2 linked regions of the Rhinolophus ferrumequinum genome follow. The protein of the gene in region 1 binds, or shares a complex with, the protein of each later gene. Links are inferred from orthologs where the notes say so. Each region holds a gene or a part of one and is shown in the gene's direction. Other genes may lie near its edges.

The links.
Region 2: the proteins of NFKBIA (region 1) and NFKB1 are in contact, whole or in part, in a crystal structure (PDB 1NFI), measured with the Homo sapiens proteins. The link is inferred for Rhinolophus ferrumequinum from reciprocal best matches to the Homo sapiens genes NFKBIA and NFKB1. Residues at the interface, in NP_065390.1 of Homo sapiens: Asn108, Asn109, Leu110, Gln111, Arg140, Tyr181, Pro214, Cys215, Asn216, Arg218, Tyr248, Gln249; in NP_001158884.1 of Homo sapiens: Lys251, Ile252, Val253, Arg254, Met255, Asp256, Arg257, Thr258, Ala259, Pro326, Lys345, Leu348, Tyr350, Ile353.

The regions. Positions count from the first base shown.
Region 1 is NC_046289.1:83,503,351-83,511,132, reverse strand, and holds NFKBIA (NF-kappa-B inhibitor alpha), read left to right. Parts: upstream 1-4,707; 5' UTR 4,708-4,831; coding exon 4,832-5,058; intron 5,059-5,639; coding exon 5,640-5,748; intron 5,749-6,077; coding exon 6,078-6,288; intron 6,289-6,572; coding exon 6,573-6,661; intron 6,662-6,789; coding exon 6,790-7,050; intron 7,051-7,375; coding exon 7,376-7,423; 3' UTR 7,424-7,515; downstream 7,516-7,782. UniProt on the Homo sapiens protein: Inhibits the activity of dimeric NF-kappa-B/REL complexes by trapping REL (RELA/p65 and NFKB1/p50) dimers in the cytoplasm by masking their nuclear localization signals.
Region 2 is NC_046288.1:53,442,211-53,450,296, forward strand, and holds the start of NFKB1 (nuclear factor NF-kappa-B p105 subunit), read left to right. Parts: upstream 1-4,880; 5' UTR 4,881-5,020; intron 5,021-8,086.

The DNA.
Region 1 (7,782 bases):
TTTGTAATCCGAACCAAATCTTTTGGCAGCTGTGATTCTTTTTACCTTTGTCCTAAACCAATCCCCATACCTTAGACCATAGAGGGAAAACAATGTCCATATCCCTATAGTTTCTGGTGGTGGATTTTGCCTCTGATACCAAAAAGGATCACGAGCTCCTCACCTGATTATGGTGCCAAGATCAGGCACCTCGTCTCATTTATGTACCATATCTAGCTGAGTACCAGTCTTTTGTGTGGAACGGCCCTAGTGCTAAGTCCCCTCACGCCCTGACTAAACTCAGGATGAATTTACACCCAAGACAAAAGAGCACATACACTAGCATCAAGAGGAAGCAATGTGCTGTTAAGCCTACTTCTCTTCCTGATCCAACTACTTCTCCACAAACACAACAGAACGCGAACAACCTACACCCCTACAGGTAGGTACTCCTTGGTTACTGCCTACAAACAGTGAAAAGGGAGAGCCAGGAATTCTGGCTGGGGGCTGACACGTGCAGGGATGACACATGCAGGCCTCCTCCTTCCCTGACGGCAGGTTACCCAACAGACAAGCTGGGCACAAGGTTGGGGTACGAGCAGAGCAGGAACACCCCAAAAAGATGTTTATTGTGAGAAAAACCAGAACTTGGTTGAACTTGTTATACTAATTTTACAGTGTAGTGTTGAACAGTTCTTTGAGGGAGGGATCAAGTTTTCTTCAGGGCTTAGAGCCTCTGATTCCAACCCTGCCTGCCAGGGCAGACCACACTTCCTAGATGGACACACTCCACCCCAGCCTCCATTTACACGGAGGAGCAGAGACCCCCTGACACCACGGGAGCTGAAGGTGAGTGCCTTCTCCCAAAGCACCATGAAAACATCATACCCTGGCTGAGAAACAGGTTGTAAGATCAGGGCCTGTGGGCTCCATGTTGCCAAAAGTTGCAGAAATGCATTTTATTTGGTTTTCACAATATTTTAAAACTTGAAAATGGTCACATCAAAATCCATGTTTTGATTTTTTTTTTTCTTAACATCAGTACTGAATGCAAAGTGCTGTTTGGCAAACATTGCCTGAGCTGTGGACATGCTGTCAGGCCAACTGCTGAAGATGCCACCATTCCCTCTTGGACTCACACGGCCACCTTCACTCCTCTGTGAAACCTATCTGGCCCCTATAAGGTAAGTATTTGAGTTCGATACCCTTTAACACTTTGATCCCCATCAAAACGCAGAATTTGTAGCAAAAGATACACATAAACGCATTGACCGTCTTATTTGCAGGTCACTATGAATAAAGGTCCTGACAGCTGTTTTTCTGTGGGGAAATTCAGAGCTTGGGAGCTCAGATTCTGAGGAGGATGGATGCAGGTGGTTGCTAACCACTAGAGGTGGAAAGAAGACTGAGCCTGGGATTGGAAGCAGAATATAAATTCAGAATTTCGCAGCAGCGCGGTCCATCAGCAGTGTGTCGGACTCACTTGGCCTTCAGGACTCTGTCGCGCTCCTCTCTCTCCCAGCCTGGCTGCACTGAGTGATGGGTAGCCTTTTGCAGTTCTATATGCTGGGGCTAAAACAATTTCAATTGGCTAGGGCAACTGGCACAGGACACGCTGCCCAGGATATTAGGAAAAGCCAAATATGTTGGTCCACTTGGCTGAACTTAGAGAAGCATCTCCACATTGCCAGGCCATTGGGCACTTCAGGCCGTAGGTTCAGTCCACATTGTGCATTTCCCACCCAGGAAGAATAAATGAAGTCACACACTGGTGCTCCTTTTCCCAGAGGGGTGCGCCTGCCCACAGTGAAGCCCCTGAGCACCCCTGGCCATCCTCTCCTTCTCTATGGCTGCATTCTGCACTAAACTATAAAGCAGCTTCGGGGTTAACAGATTCATTCGTTTGCCTTCTTCTGCATTCAAAATAAAAAAGCCAAATGACATTTAAAAATTAGTTACCTAAGGTTTAACATCTTCAAAATGGTCAAGATGAGCTAAAATGTGTGACAATGAGGTGGGGAGAACCCTAAGTGCCCAGGAGTCCATAAAGGTCTTTCTAAACCAGAAATCAAAGTTTTGCTGTCTTTTTCTGGCCCTTCTGCTCATGTTTTCTGATTTCCAAGTGTGTTCTTTATTGCCCAAGTTGTAATATTTGTTGATTTCAATGTAGAGAGCTATAGATGATAGAGAGAAAACCTGTTGGATCACATTATTCAAAACTGTCTCCCAGGTTGCAGAAAAACAAAAGGTACCTCCTTGGGAATCCCCACCATAGGGACAGGTCACCAAGGCTTGGCACCTCGCCAAATTCCCAAAACCTCTGAGACAAATCAGAGAACACCTGCGCCTGACTCTTACCACCAGGAATCACACTAAACAATTGGGAATAAAGACGACTAGGTCCTTAAGGCCATCAAGAACATAAAGTCATTAAAAGAGGTACAAAGAAACTTACTCCCTAGATACTTTTACTTATGCATGATTTTTTCTTTCTTTTTATGATTTTCTTTTTTAATAATCATTTGAAACCTGCAGCTAAAAATTCTCTCCTATGGTACCCTTTTATTAGTGGGGCATCTCAAGTTCGACTTTTCTGTACTTTTTTTCTTACAGACATGAATACCCCCGATAGGGAAACATCTACCCTCTATTTTATCCAACAATTGGAGCAGAAAATACTTTGAGTATCTTCCAAATTATAACATATTCGGTCTCATTTTCAAAATGTGTCTTCAAAAGTGTTAATACCTACCACAACAGCTTTGGCCAAATGATTAATATGTTGGGACAGAAATTAGATTAACTGCCATGGGGTACCTAGGTAAATTTCTCTGCATTTCAGTTTATTTTTAGGAAAGTAGGAATATTACCTATCTTACAAGATTAGTTCTGAGAACAATGTGTTGCATAAGGTGCTGGAGTCCTTCCAAAAATATATACTGTGAATTTCCAAGAGACACGATCACTCTTAAGCAGGGGTTTATACATGCATGTGTGGCCAACTAATACAATTTTTAAGCTGGGGGAAAAAAAAACCCAAAAAGCATTAAATCCAAGCAGGTATACTACAGCAAAGTTAATTGATACCTCCAATTAAGATGCACTTAATTAGAGATAGAGCCTGGAATTGAGATCTTCTACTTATAGTCACTGTTCCACCTTGCCTGAAAACTTGTGTAGTTGTGTATCACATGCCTACAGAGACAGCAGAGTGTATCCCTGGGAAGTTTTCATTTTAGCATGTGATCATTACTACCATGAAGGTTTTATTTCTTGATTTTACTCCCCCCCCCCATATTTTGTCTGTCACCCTCACTGACCCAGATTCCCTACATTCAGATATGGGGGTGAGGGCTGAGGAGAGGGAGATTCAGAGAGGATCAAGCTTGGTAAGTACATGGCCCGGCAAGTTAAAGATGATTGCAACAACCCTCAGAAATCTGCAAAACTATGAGAGACCTCTTGGAACTAATTGTGAAGAATTGGGACCAAAGTTGCTTTGTTTTGCCGGGACCAATGCTAAGGGTCAATCAATTAACTTCACTGGATTGTTGGCTAGGAGGTGAGGGTGCAGAGGAGAGTATACATTCTATTTCTGTAGTTGAAAACAGAGGATAGTGAGCCTGGAGTGCCTACCCACATTGCATGCATGGTAAGTCCAACCGCTGCCCTCCCCCAGGACAGGAGAGCAAGGAACCAGGAGGGGCAGGATGGGGACTAGTTGGCACCCCTTGAGCTTCCTGCAGTATGCCTAGCAGCTACTTTCTTAGCCATCACTTAAGGCCCAATGTTAGGTAGTAAGTCACCACTCAACCCATTCTTCAGCGTCCTTCTCCAAATGCCTCTGGAAAGTTGCCCAGCGTGGCACCCCGAAGTAGGCTCAGGATCCATTCTCTGCAGCACCACAGTGCAATTCAGGGAGCACAACCACCTCAATAATTATTTCGTTATTGTCAAGCATCTACAACCTCTACTACCTTGCCCTACTTTTAAAAAAAAGTTCCTGTTCAGCATTTTCTCACATACAGGGGAGAGAGGGCAGAGTGCTTACCCCTCCCCAGTCACCAGGATTTTTAGTCCCGAGGAAACTAGTTGAGGGCTCTCCAAGCATTTAGGTTTTTAACGCCAAAACTTGCACACCTTCTACCTGAGGGGGCTGGGGGAGTGCTACGTGTCCCTGCACTGCAAACAGCCTGGGGTCAGCAGGCACGCAGAGGCATCCCTTCTCCCCGCCAGTGCGTTCTTCCCTGCAGACAGAAGTTTGAGGAAACGAATCCCTACACCCAGCCATCATTTCCACTCGCGTTTCCAATAGATCAAAAAAACGGAAAAGACCGGCAGGTTGGCAAACCCCAACGAGGAACCGCCCAGCAAGTCTGCATCTTTGGGATCTCTGCAGCCGAGGACCCCAAATCCAATCGATCGTGGGAAACCCCAGGGAAAGAAGGTTTCTTGCAGAGGGACAAGATTACTGAGTGCAGGCTGCAGGGAAGTACCGGGAGGGGGCCTTGTCGGGAGGACTTTCCAGCCACTCAGCGTTCATCAAAAAGTTCCCTGTGCATGACCCCAGTGGCTCATCGCTGGGAGTTTCTCTGATGAACCCTGCTTAGGGTTTAGATTGCTTTCCCTCCGCCGTAGAACGAGGCCAGTTCTCTTTTCTGGTCTGACTGGCTTGGAAATTCCCCGCGCCTGACCCCGCCCCGGAGAAATCCCCTGCCAGCGTTTATAGGGCGCCGCGGCGGCGCTGCCGAGCCCACAACAGTCCTAACCCGCCTGCGACACTGCGAAGAAGGGAGCGCGCAGCCCGCAGCCGAGCGCACCTGGGGAGCAGCGCCTGAGCAGTCACTGCGCCATGTTTCACCCCGCCGAGCACGCCCAGGACTGGGCCATGGAGGGCCCCCGGGACGCGCTCAAGAAGGAGCGGCTGCTGGACGACCGCCACGACAGCGGCCTGGACTCCATGAAGGACGAGGACTATGAGCAGATGGTGAAGGAGCTGCGGGAGATCCGCCTGGAGCCGCAGGAGGCGCCGCGCAGCGCGGAGCCCTGGAAGCAGCAGCTCACGGAGGACGGAGACTCGTAAGTGTCGCAGGCCTGGGTGACGGGGCCGGGTGGGGGCGCCGGGCCTGCAGCGCGAGCCTCGGGGCCCGCGCGATGCGGCGGTGGATCGGGGTTTATGCACCGACCCCGAGGCCGGGTAAAGCTGCATGAGGGCAGAGGATCAGGGTTCGTTCCCGGGGCCGCGGTTCCGCAGCTCGGCCTTGCAGCCGTTCACACTCCCCTGCCCGGTCCCGGTCCTCTCGGCCGGGGGCGGGGCGGCGGGGACGCGAAGTCCCCGCTTGCAGAAGGGGGGAGGGGGGAGTTTCTGCCCGACGGGCGGGCGCCGTGCCGCAGCGAGGGGAAGTACAGGGCGTTCCGGCCCGGCGGGAGGGCGGGGCGGTCTGGTCGGCGCCCGCCCGGGAGCGGGGGGGGGGGGGGGGGCCCGGAAAGTCCCTGGGCGCCTGCCAGGAACACTCAGCTCATAATAACCTCGCGGAAAACACCGCGGCCTCGGCCTTCAGAAACCCCGGCCTTGCGCAATCCCCCGCAGCCCGCGCCTCCCTGGGCCCCACGCATTGTACTCACCAGCCCTGGGGGTTTTTCCCTTCTTTTCCTCTCAGGTTCCTGCACTTAGCCATTATCCACGAGGAGAAGGCACTGACTCTGGAAGTGGTCCGCCAAGTGAAGGGAGACCTGGCCTTTCTTAACTTCCAGAACAACCTGCAGCAGGTGCGCCTCTTGCCCAGCCCCGGGCCTCTCTGACCCCGTGGTCTAGCACAGTTGCTCCCAATGCTTTATAAATTCATAGTCGTGGTCATTATCCGCTCTGACTTTTTACATCCGAATCAGCCAGCATTCTAGAAAGTAAAGAACATCCCATTAATTTGCTGTGGCCTTTATGAAGCCCACCTGGGGCCTTTGGTATTTGCTTTGTCCCTTGCACCTGTCTGGGAGCAGCAACCCCCCGCAAACTAGGGATCTAGGGGGGTTCAAGGGAACTCAGACTGTGGGTTTGGTCCGTGGCTTAATCCTCTTTCTGTTCCCTCTTCTGTTTGTAGACTCCACTCCACTTGGCTGTGATTACTAACCAGCCAGAAATTGCTGAGGCACTTCTGGAAGCTGGCTGTGATCCTGAGCTCCGAGACTTTCGAGGAAATACCCCCCTACACCTTGCCTGTGAGCAGGGCTGCCTGGCCAGTGTGGGAGTCCTGACTCAGAGCTGTGGGACCCAGCACCTCCACTCTATCCTGCAGGCCACCAACTACAATGGTACGTCTGCCTGCCCTGCCCATCAGAGGGCAGGTGACACGGGAAGGGAGAGGTGGGCCAACTTAGAGAGTCCAGGCAAGAGCTTAAACTATCAGCGTGTGATGGGTTGAGCAAACGTGTGTGTAAAAGGCCTATTTGATGCCTTTATAAAGTTCATTCAGATCTCAGATCCTGGGTTGTTCATATTCAGAAGAATTTGTCCCTTAAAAGAATAGGTGAAAGGTTTTGTTTCAGATGTGAGGATTGAAACAAGTGGTTATACTTTTTTCCTTTTGTTCTTCTAGGCCACACGTGTCTGCACTTAGCTTCTATCCATGGCTACCTGGGCATCGTGGAGCTTTTGGTGTCCTTGGGTGCTGATGTCAATGCTCAGGTGAGTGCCTCATGCCTCCAGGTGGAGGGCAGCACGCTCAGCGCCCTCCTCACAGACTTCACGTGCCCTCATTACAAGCCAAAATTCCAAATTCAGCCTAAAGCATCTCAAATTCCTTTCGGTTTCAGGAGCCGTGTAATGGCCGAACTGCCCTTCATCTCGCGGTGGACTTACAGAACCCCGACCTGGTGTCGCTCTTGTTGAAGTGTGGGGCTGATGTCAATAGAGTCACCTACCAGGGCTACTCCCCATATCAACTCACCTGGGGTCGCCCAAGCACCCGGATACAACAGCAGCTGGGCCAGCTGACCCTAGAAAACCTTCAGATGCTGCCAGAGAGTGAAGATGAAGAGAGTTACGACACCGAGTCAGAGTTCACAGAGGACGAGGTGAGTCTCAAGTTCATTCTACAAAAAGGAGTGAGATGGTCATTCTCCACCCTCCCAGGCCCCTAGAGCTACTCTTTACCCAAAGGTCTCAACATAATGAAGTTCTCAAACTTTAGTATATCCCAAGTGTGTGTCTTTTTGCCTTTTTTAAAGAAGAGCATTAAAGGAAAACTACCTCAGTCCATGAAGTTAATTTCTATTTGGGTTATAGAGAATGGAGTCCACAAATACTTGGGTTATTTCTAGTATTATGCCCTCACCATTATCCCAGCACCCCTAGCAAAAGTTTTGGAAGTTTAACATGCTTTTTTCCTCTTGTTTTTAGCTGCCATATGATGACTGTGTGTTTGGAGGCCAGCGCCTGAAATTATGAGCTTTGGAAAGTATCTGAAAGAACATGGACTTGTATATTTGTACAAAAAGAGAGTTTTATTTTTCTAAGAAAAAAAGAAAAGAAAAAAAAAATCAAAAGGGTGTACTTACAACCACACTGCCTGGCCTGAGACGTTTTACTGGGGTGGATCAGCCCTCTTTTTTGTGAACTTTGGAAGGGGGACAAGAAAGAGCATTGGAATTCAAAGAAAACCTCTTTGTAAACCTCACCATTGCGGGGTTTTTAGAGAAGGTGATCCAAAATTTGATGAAAGGACTACATTTTATTTATTGTGCTTTTTGATTGAACCACCATGGATTCAGTGGCTAAGCCCAGTTGTATCCTGTGACATGTAGCAA
Region 2 (8,086 bases), on another chromosome or scaffold:
ATGAATATACTTTAGAGATGTGCTATTAGACAAAACAATTTTTGACTGGTGGGTGCCTGGGGAAAAAAAAATCTAGATTTCTTTTTACATTAATTATTTCAAGGTACAATTCCACTTAAGTCTTTTTGTTACAATGTTATAAACTCAGACCTTGTAAGTCTCACTCCCCCTCATCTGTCTGTCTTCTTTCTTCTGATCATTTTGCTATTGTATCATACCTACCATTCCAACATCCACTACATGCTATCTTCTTCATCAAGTTTTCCTGAAAGAAACAACAGTATTCATAATAATAACCAATATAAATGCGAGTTTCCTGAGCATGTGGCACTTTGGTCTGCACTTCATGTGCATGATCTCTTTAGACCCTTACAATAGCACTACAAGGCGGGCATAACTATCATCCTATCTTACAGATGAGAAAAAGAAGGCCGGAACAGTTATGCACCTTGTCCAGGGTCACATAACTACTCAGGGCAGAACAGGAGTGAATTATTTTCTGTGAAGGGCACAGTCAGGCACTGGCTTCCAATCTGAAGGTAGCACCTGTTTTCCTCAGTCCGAGAGCTTAACCACCAGGCACAATGCAAGCACTGTGGTCTCTCTCCCTACCTATGCCTAAGCATTTGCTTAAACCTCCATGAAGGCATTTACTGTACTCTGCCTCATACTATAATTACACGCACTCTTTTGTGTTTTGTGAACTCTTTGAAGGCAGTGATGATAGTGCGTAAATATTCATTTGAATTGATAGAAAAGATGCTAGTATCCTTAAGACCAGTGACATTCTTCTTGTAAATTTATTGTCTCATTTCAGTGTGTCTGCATTGCCAACGGAATAAAACTCTGGATTCTGCATATAATCTCGAGAGGAAGATGATCTCTACGCCCTCTTCTGTTGATTTTACTCTTGGTGATATGACCCATTACACAAATCACTTTTGTCCTGGCTATTATATGAGGTCATTCTTCCTGGCTTTATATTGCGAGCAGAGATTACATCTTCTTTTTCTTTTGTAACCACTTATACAGGCTAATTGAGTGCTCCGTCAATAAGACCTGTAACTGCAAGCACAAGACAGAATATGGCAAGCCTTTTAAATGGAGGTGTAATGAAATACTCCACTATCAACAAGGAGAGATGCCACTATTGTGTGCCCCAGTAGTCAACAGTGCAAGCATAGAAGTCCCTTAAGCCCACAAGGAAATTAATTTCAAGTCTTTTTTCTTAGACTAACTTTATGTTTGTAAAACCTTTTACATTCTTTATCTCCTATTTGTTTCTAGACCTCTGTGAGGCAGGATTGTAATAATGTAACATATATGCATAATGCAACATATAAGTTGTTACTTATGTATGTATACATACATGTGTTAATCTACTAACTTGTGTTGCTATAACGAAATACCAGACCCTGTGGTTTATAAATAGAAATTTACTTCTCATAGTTCAAGATCAGGGTGCCATCATCGTTGGGTAAGGGCTCTCTTCCAAGTCACAGACTTTTAATTATATCGTCATACGATGGTAGGGAGCAGCTGGCTCTCTTGGGTCTTTTTCATAAGGGCACTTATCCAAATCCTGAGGGTTCTGCCCTCATGACCTAATCACCTCCCAAGTGCCCTGCCTCCTAATACCATCACCTTAGGGGTTAGGAATTCAACATATGAATTTTGGGGGAATGCAAATATTCAGATCATAGCAATACAACATACATAAAATGTTATGTAAAGCTATTCTAGAGCTCATCATATGAACTATAATGTTATGATTATTGTACAGGCAAAGAAACTGAAACTCATACAAAGCAGTACTTGGCAAAAATTACACAGATAATTCAAGGCAAACCTAGGATTCCAACTCAAGTCTGATTTCAAGTCTACTCAAGTCTTTCCATTTTATCTTACCTAACAGCTGTGGTCTGAGTGTTTCTAAGCATGTTGAGGTGCCTTCGTGACCTGAAGCAAGTTCTACCCTTTACAGAAATATAGTTCACTCCTGTCCACAAGATGGGTCTGAGTTTGCAGGGCTCAGATGTATAATTTTGTATTTGTGAATCCCCTTCACACACTATATAATCTCTCATTGTCAATGGACACACTATATAGATCTCAACCTAACAAACTTCTGGACACTGACATTTATAATACTCAGTTTGAAAAAGGAAATTCATGTGATTTCAAAGATTTAGTGATAAACACAGTACAACTTTTATAAACTTGATGCCTAAAATTCCACATTTAGGCTTTTTTTTTCATTATACTCTGATAATGGCAAATGCCCTCTGACACCTAATTTGTAAGAAACACTCCTGGAAGCAGGTGTAGAGTAAGTATTGGGAAACAAAGCAGCAATGCAGAAAGGTTAACTGATAAGCCAAAAAGAGTAGACTGGGGGCTTTTATACTTTTGTCTGCTTAGTGTATTTGATTGTGTCCCCCTCAAAAATATGTCCAAGGCCTTATCCTAGGTACATATGAGCATGACCTTATTTGGAAATAGGGTCTTTGCAGATTAATGAAGGTAAAATGAGGCTATACCGGATTGAGGTGGGCTCTAGGTCCAATAACTGGTGTCTTAATACGAGAGAGAAGAAGGTGATTTGGATACAGAGACACAGGCAAGAAGGCCATGTGAGGACAGAGGCAGAAATTGGAGTTACGCAGCTAAAAGCCAAGGAATACCAAAGATAGCCGGGAGCTACCAGAAGCTAGGAAGAGTCAAGAAACGATTCTTTCTTGGAGCCTTCAGAGGGAGCATGGGTCTGCTGACACCCTGATTTCCGATTTCTGGCCTCTAGAACTGTGAGAGAATCAATTTCCATTGTCGTAAGCCACCCAGTTTGTGGTAACTTGTTAAGGTACCTCTAGGAAACTACATACTCCTGCCTAACACCCAGCCCTCAATTTTAAGTCCACTCTATTGGATAATTTTGAGTTTGAAATTTAATTTAATGTTTTTCACTAATTAACACCTTTTACTTGTTCCCAATATGTCACGCTGGCTCTATTCTTCCAACAATCCAACCCTGTCTGTCCATTCTTTCGGCAACAGGCTATTCACTACCCCCTCAACGCCTCAACCCCATGCCTGGAATGAAGAGTGTGGCTGTTCACACCTGCTCCACAAACAAGAAAAAAACACCACCACTCCTCTAATACTTGGTTGTTTCATGGGAGTTTGCACTATTTATGCTCATGTCAGTGACCAAAAAATATATACAAAGGATATATTAATCTAAAATACAGTATTGGCGCAATTTCTAATAATGTCCCATACGTAATAACGCAGTGTTTGTAAAACAGTCTTCAGTCTTCATAAATCGCCTGAATTACAGCTGTTCAAACAGCCTGTGGGAGTTAAACGAAATCCCTTGAACGTAGATTGTTGGTTGGTCCCCAAGGTCATTGCAGAGACTCACCCCGGACCCAATCAAACGGATCTCTACTTCTCCGCCAAACACTCCACCAAGAAGATTCTTATAACCTTGGGGAGGTTGGGGCAAGGGCGAGGAGGACGACTAAAGGGAACATGGCCAACTTGCTAGGGGCAATCCAATGTCATAGCAACACTGCCTGGTGATGGCTTGATGACCTATGTTTTAAAATATGCAGTTGTCACAGTGGTGAGATAATGAACTCTAAAATATCCACTCAAAGTTTCTCATTGAGGGAGCTAAACTACCCCAGGGTATCCCCAGCCCGTGTCTAGCGCAATGCCTGGAAAGTAAAGAAGCTCAGATCTAGTGAATGGTGGGATGCCTGCTGGACGTTCCAGCAGCGGTCTCTCCAGAAAAAAAAGAAAAAGAAAAAGAAAAACTCCCTTCTGTTGGATCAATATTTCTTTATGAGCTGTGGACCAAAACCACTGCTACCACCATCACTATAATTCTATCCACCGTAATTATCATAATGCCCTGTAGATGGGAGTTCAGAATAAGTCCCAACCAAGTTACCGAAACTCAGATGCTCAGACTGCGCTGGACAGAAGTCGGTTATATCATAGAAATTCCACTTTAATTTGTGAAAAGATTTGGGTGTAACTGAGACAATTTAAAGGGAACAGACAGATGAGATTTATTTTTATACAAGGCATGCTTAGCTCCACGCCGACTCATCATCCTCTCCAGGTGCTTGGGCCTGTCCTTAGGGGCTCTGGACCTCCCGAATCCAACAGCCAGCCCTACGCCACCGCCTCCGTGCCGCCTGCTTCCCGGGGCAATCGGGCCCCGGTGGCGCTTCAGGGGGCGTCCCTGGCCGCTCCAGCCCTCGGGGCTCCGGGAGCGCCGGCCCGGGAGCAGGAGCTCCGCAGGGGACTCCGGCGTCCGGGCCTCGGACCGCGCGCCTCGTTCTCCGCCCCGAAGCGGCCCCGAGGGGCGGGAGCCGAGCGGGGCTGCGGGGCCGAACCGGGGGCGCACAGCGGCCCCAGAAGTGCGGGCTTCCCCCACCCCCGGTGGCGACCCCACCTCCCGCCCCCGCGGCGTGCGCGCGTGTGTCCGTCTGTCTGTCTTCTCGCTCGACGTCAGTGGGAATTTCCAGCCAGGAAGTGAGAGAGTGAGCAAGACAGAGAGACAGAGAAGTGCACCAGCGAGCCGGGGCAGGAAGAGGAGGTTTCGCCACCGGAGCGGCCCGGCGACGCGCTGACAGCTTCCCCTGCCCTGCCCGTCCGTCGGGCCTCTCCTCAACGCCGCCGCCCTCGGCCTGCGCCCCGCCGCCGGCCCCTCTCCGAGACCCCGCGCAGCCCAGGCCAGAGCCGCCGCGGCCGGGAAGGCGGCGCCGCCGCGGCCCGGCCACCGCGCGCCCCGCGCTTCCCTCCGCCCGCGCTGCGACATGGCGCGGCGCTGACTGGCCCGGCCCGGCGAGACCGCGCGCCCTCTCGTCCGGACCCGATCAGACCCGCACTCGGACGTGCTTTGGCCCCGGCCGGCCTCCGCCTCCTCCTAACGCGGCCCCGAGGCCCGCGCCGCCCCGGAGGGGGAGCCCGCAGGCGCCGGGAGGCCGAGCGCGGACCCGCCACCACGGTAAGCCAAACTCGGGCAAGTGGGGGCCACGCCGGGGACTTGCGGCCCGAGTCCCGCCACCTACCCGCCCCGCACCCCTCCAGCCCTGCTAGGACTTCCTCATTCCTGCGATAGCCGCTACCCTGGACCCTAGGAGGAGGTTGACAGGAGTTAAGAGATTGGCGAGAGGGGGGAAAGGCACATCCGGACTTGGCGGGGGCCAGTCGGCCCGAGGGCCACGGCTGCCCGGGCTGCCCTTTCTCTTCCCGTCCTTCCGCCAGGCGGGAACGGAACCAGAGGGGAACTCTGGCAAACTTTTTTTAATCCTCACCCCCACTCCCTGCTGCGGGGTGGCTTTAAGGTTGAGGTGCGCTTGGGCGCGAAGGAAAGAGGGGAAGGTGGTTGGTGCAGTGCTGAACCAGATTTCACCTAAGGGCGTTCCATGAAATGAAAGCAGAAGTGCATGGCAGTCCTCTCGGCTGGGGAAGCCCTCCCCAGCTCCCCCAAATTGAATAGGACAGCCTTATTCCTTCAAAAAAGAAGCCCCCACTTCACACACACACACACGCACCAGGACATAATATATTCACCTACTATAGGATCTGGACATTGGTTTTCAAAAAAAAAACGAGGGCCTGAGACTGATCTCCAGGGCCTGGCATTTGAGAGAGAAAAGAAATTACCTATTTAGATCACTTTTTGGACACTCTGATTATGAAACACTTGGAAAACGGTACCATGTGTTGTGCATGACCTCTAAAACAAAAAAATGCTATAAACAAAGCCTAGCCTAGATCCAAGTTTTCTCATGGTCTTTAAAAATAAATAAATACTGATGGAGGTGTTTGCCCTGATTTATTGGCCTATTCTGAAACTTAAATGGGACTTAATGACACAGTATCTGATTATCAAGATTTAAGACATTTTCATGGATTTGTTAAGTAGGGTTTTTCAGCACTGCAGCTTATTAAATAACTATATTTAACTTACAGATTTTGTCATAAAGCCCATAATCTGAGAAAATGACTACAGTATTACTAAAACACTCAACAGCCCTGGCATACAAATGTTCTACAAACTGATGAGCTTTGGAAACCCTAAAGTTTGAGATCAAGATGTTCAGTGCTTATTTTTCTAGCAATACCTCAATTGAGTATTCTTGAGCACTTTGAATTGCATTAGCGTTTGTTAAAACTTTAAAAAGGAATCTTGATTAAAATAAAGCCCTTGGCTGAATCATGTTGTTTTCCTGATTTTAATATTGTGCTTTCTAGAAATGAATTCTTTTACTATTTCATGCACTAAAGAATTTTGGAAATGATTTAAAGCAAAGTATTTTTTTGAGCTTATGAACTTGGGAAGCCAGGAAATAAAAAGACTTGTTTCTTGTAGCCTTTTACATTGATCACGTAATTAAATTGCTACAGTGAGAAGAACATACATGGTAAATGTAAACATGAAATCTCCTGAAATTGTTTATCCATATTGATATACCTGCAGCTCCTCAATGCCTCCTGGAGCTCGTTTAGATAAAATGTCTTCCTGGGCCACAGCCTACTGGACAAACGTGAACACAAAGGAAGACTCATTATGTGTAGATTTAATGCTGGCACCGAAATACTGCTTATTGTGAAGAGTAAACCACTTCTAAATTGTTGAGAAGACTTTTTAAGGGAAATACTATAATCCAGTTGGGGTTGGGGGCAATTGGAAAGTCTATTATTTTTGTTTAGTAATTTCAATTTTGTCTTATGTTCGGCAGTTGGCATTCACATCAGCTGAATAAATGCCTCTATTTTTCAAACCCAGTTAGTAAATACTGGAGTATACATACAAAAATAGTTGTTCCCCTTCTTAAGCTCTGCTTTGATCTTTGCACTTCCTTCTTCTACCTCTTAAAACAAAATTGTCTGTGATGACTGAGTTGCAGTTGGTAAAAGCTCAATTAGTCAGAAATAGGCAGAATTTTAGATTTAGTGATTGTATTCCTCAGAGACGTATTTCTCTTGTCATGTTCCTTGAAACAATTTGAAGCTAGTTTGAGAAACAAATACATATGCAGGTTGTTTTTACCACTGCTTTCATACTTCCAGATAATTGATGAAATAAGTTTTAGTAGTACCTGATTTTCAGGTACTGCTTATTGTGGTAGATAGAAGGTCTAGATAAGGAATTGGAGGCTATAGGAATCTGGGACTCTCATTCAATCAGCAGGGCCTCATTTTCTACCCAGTATTCCCCTGTTCACAAGAGGTGAAAGTTCTGGCTTCTGAGGGGAAGTGGTTACTTCATAACCTTCAATTAGTTTGAACTTAGGAGAAGAAAGAACAATAGTTGACATTTTAAAACAATACATTTTAAAAAATGATATCTGAGTTTCCATATGGATTTTTGATAGTCAAAATATGATCTTTTTCTTCTTCAGAACTTATTAGTAGGTGTCCTGTTCTGAACATAGAGATGACTGCAGTAGAAAGTGTGTCTGGAAATGCAGAGCTGTTTAACCAATAGAGTAACTATTCAAATTATGCTCTTCTAGTCTACAAATTGAACATGAATCACATTAGCAGGAATGGATACATAAGAATCAATGGCTAAGCAAAATTTCTTATGAATTTACCTTACTTAGAAGGAAAGTTGCCTTGTTTGCTTGATTGGTTTTCTGTTTATATGACTCATAAAAGGTGGCATGATTGCTATATGCTGTAAGAAGAGAAGGAGAAGAAGAAGGAAGGATAGAATTTTAGTGCTGGAGGACACTTTCAAATGTTCTGTTTCTACATCTACGTTTATGTATGATATGAGTTCATTGACAAACGCTTTCTTGGTAACCAGTAAACCACATTGAAGCAGTTTACCCTGCTTTCTGGGAATTAACTCTCTTTGCACACTTGTACCTCTCATAAGTACTGAACTCAGTATAGTATTTTTAGAGTTGAGCAGATAAATCTGCAGAAGCATATATACCTCCTTGAGTTGACCCTGTCACTCCTTAGTTGACCTTGAGGTTTGAAGAACTAGAGGCATTCAGCTTCAGAGAGGACTGTTTGGACTTCTGGCATGGTCCTGCAAGTTAGTTTGGCTCTG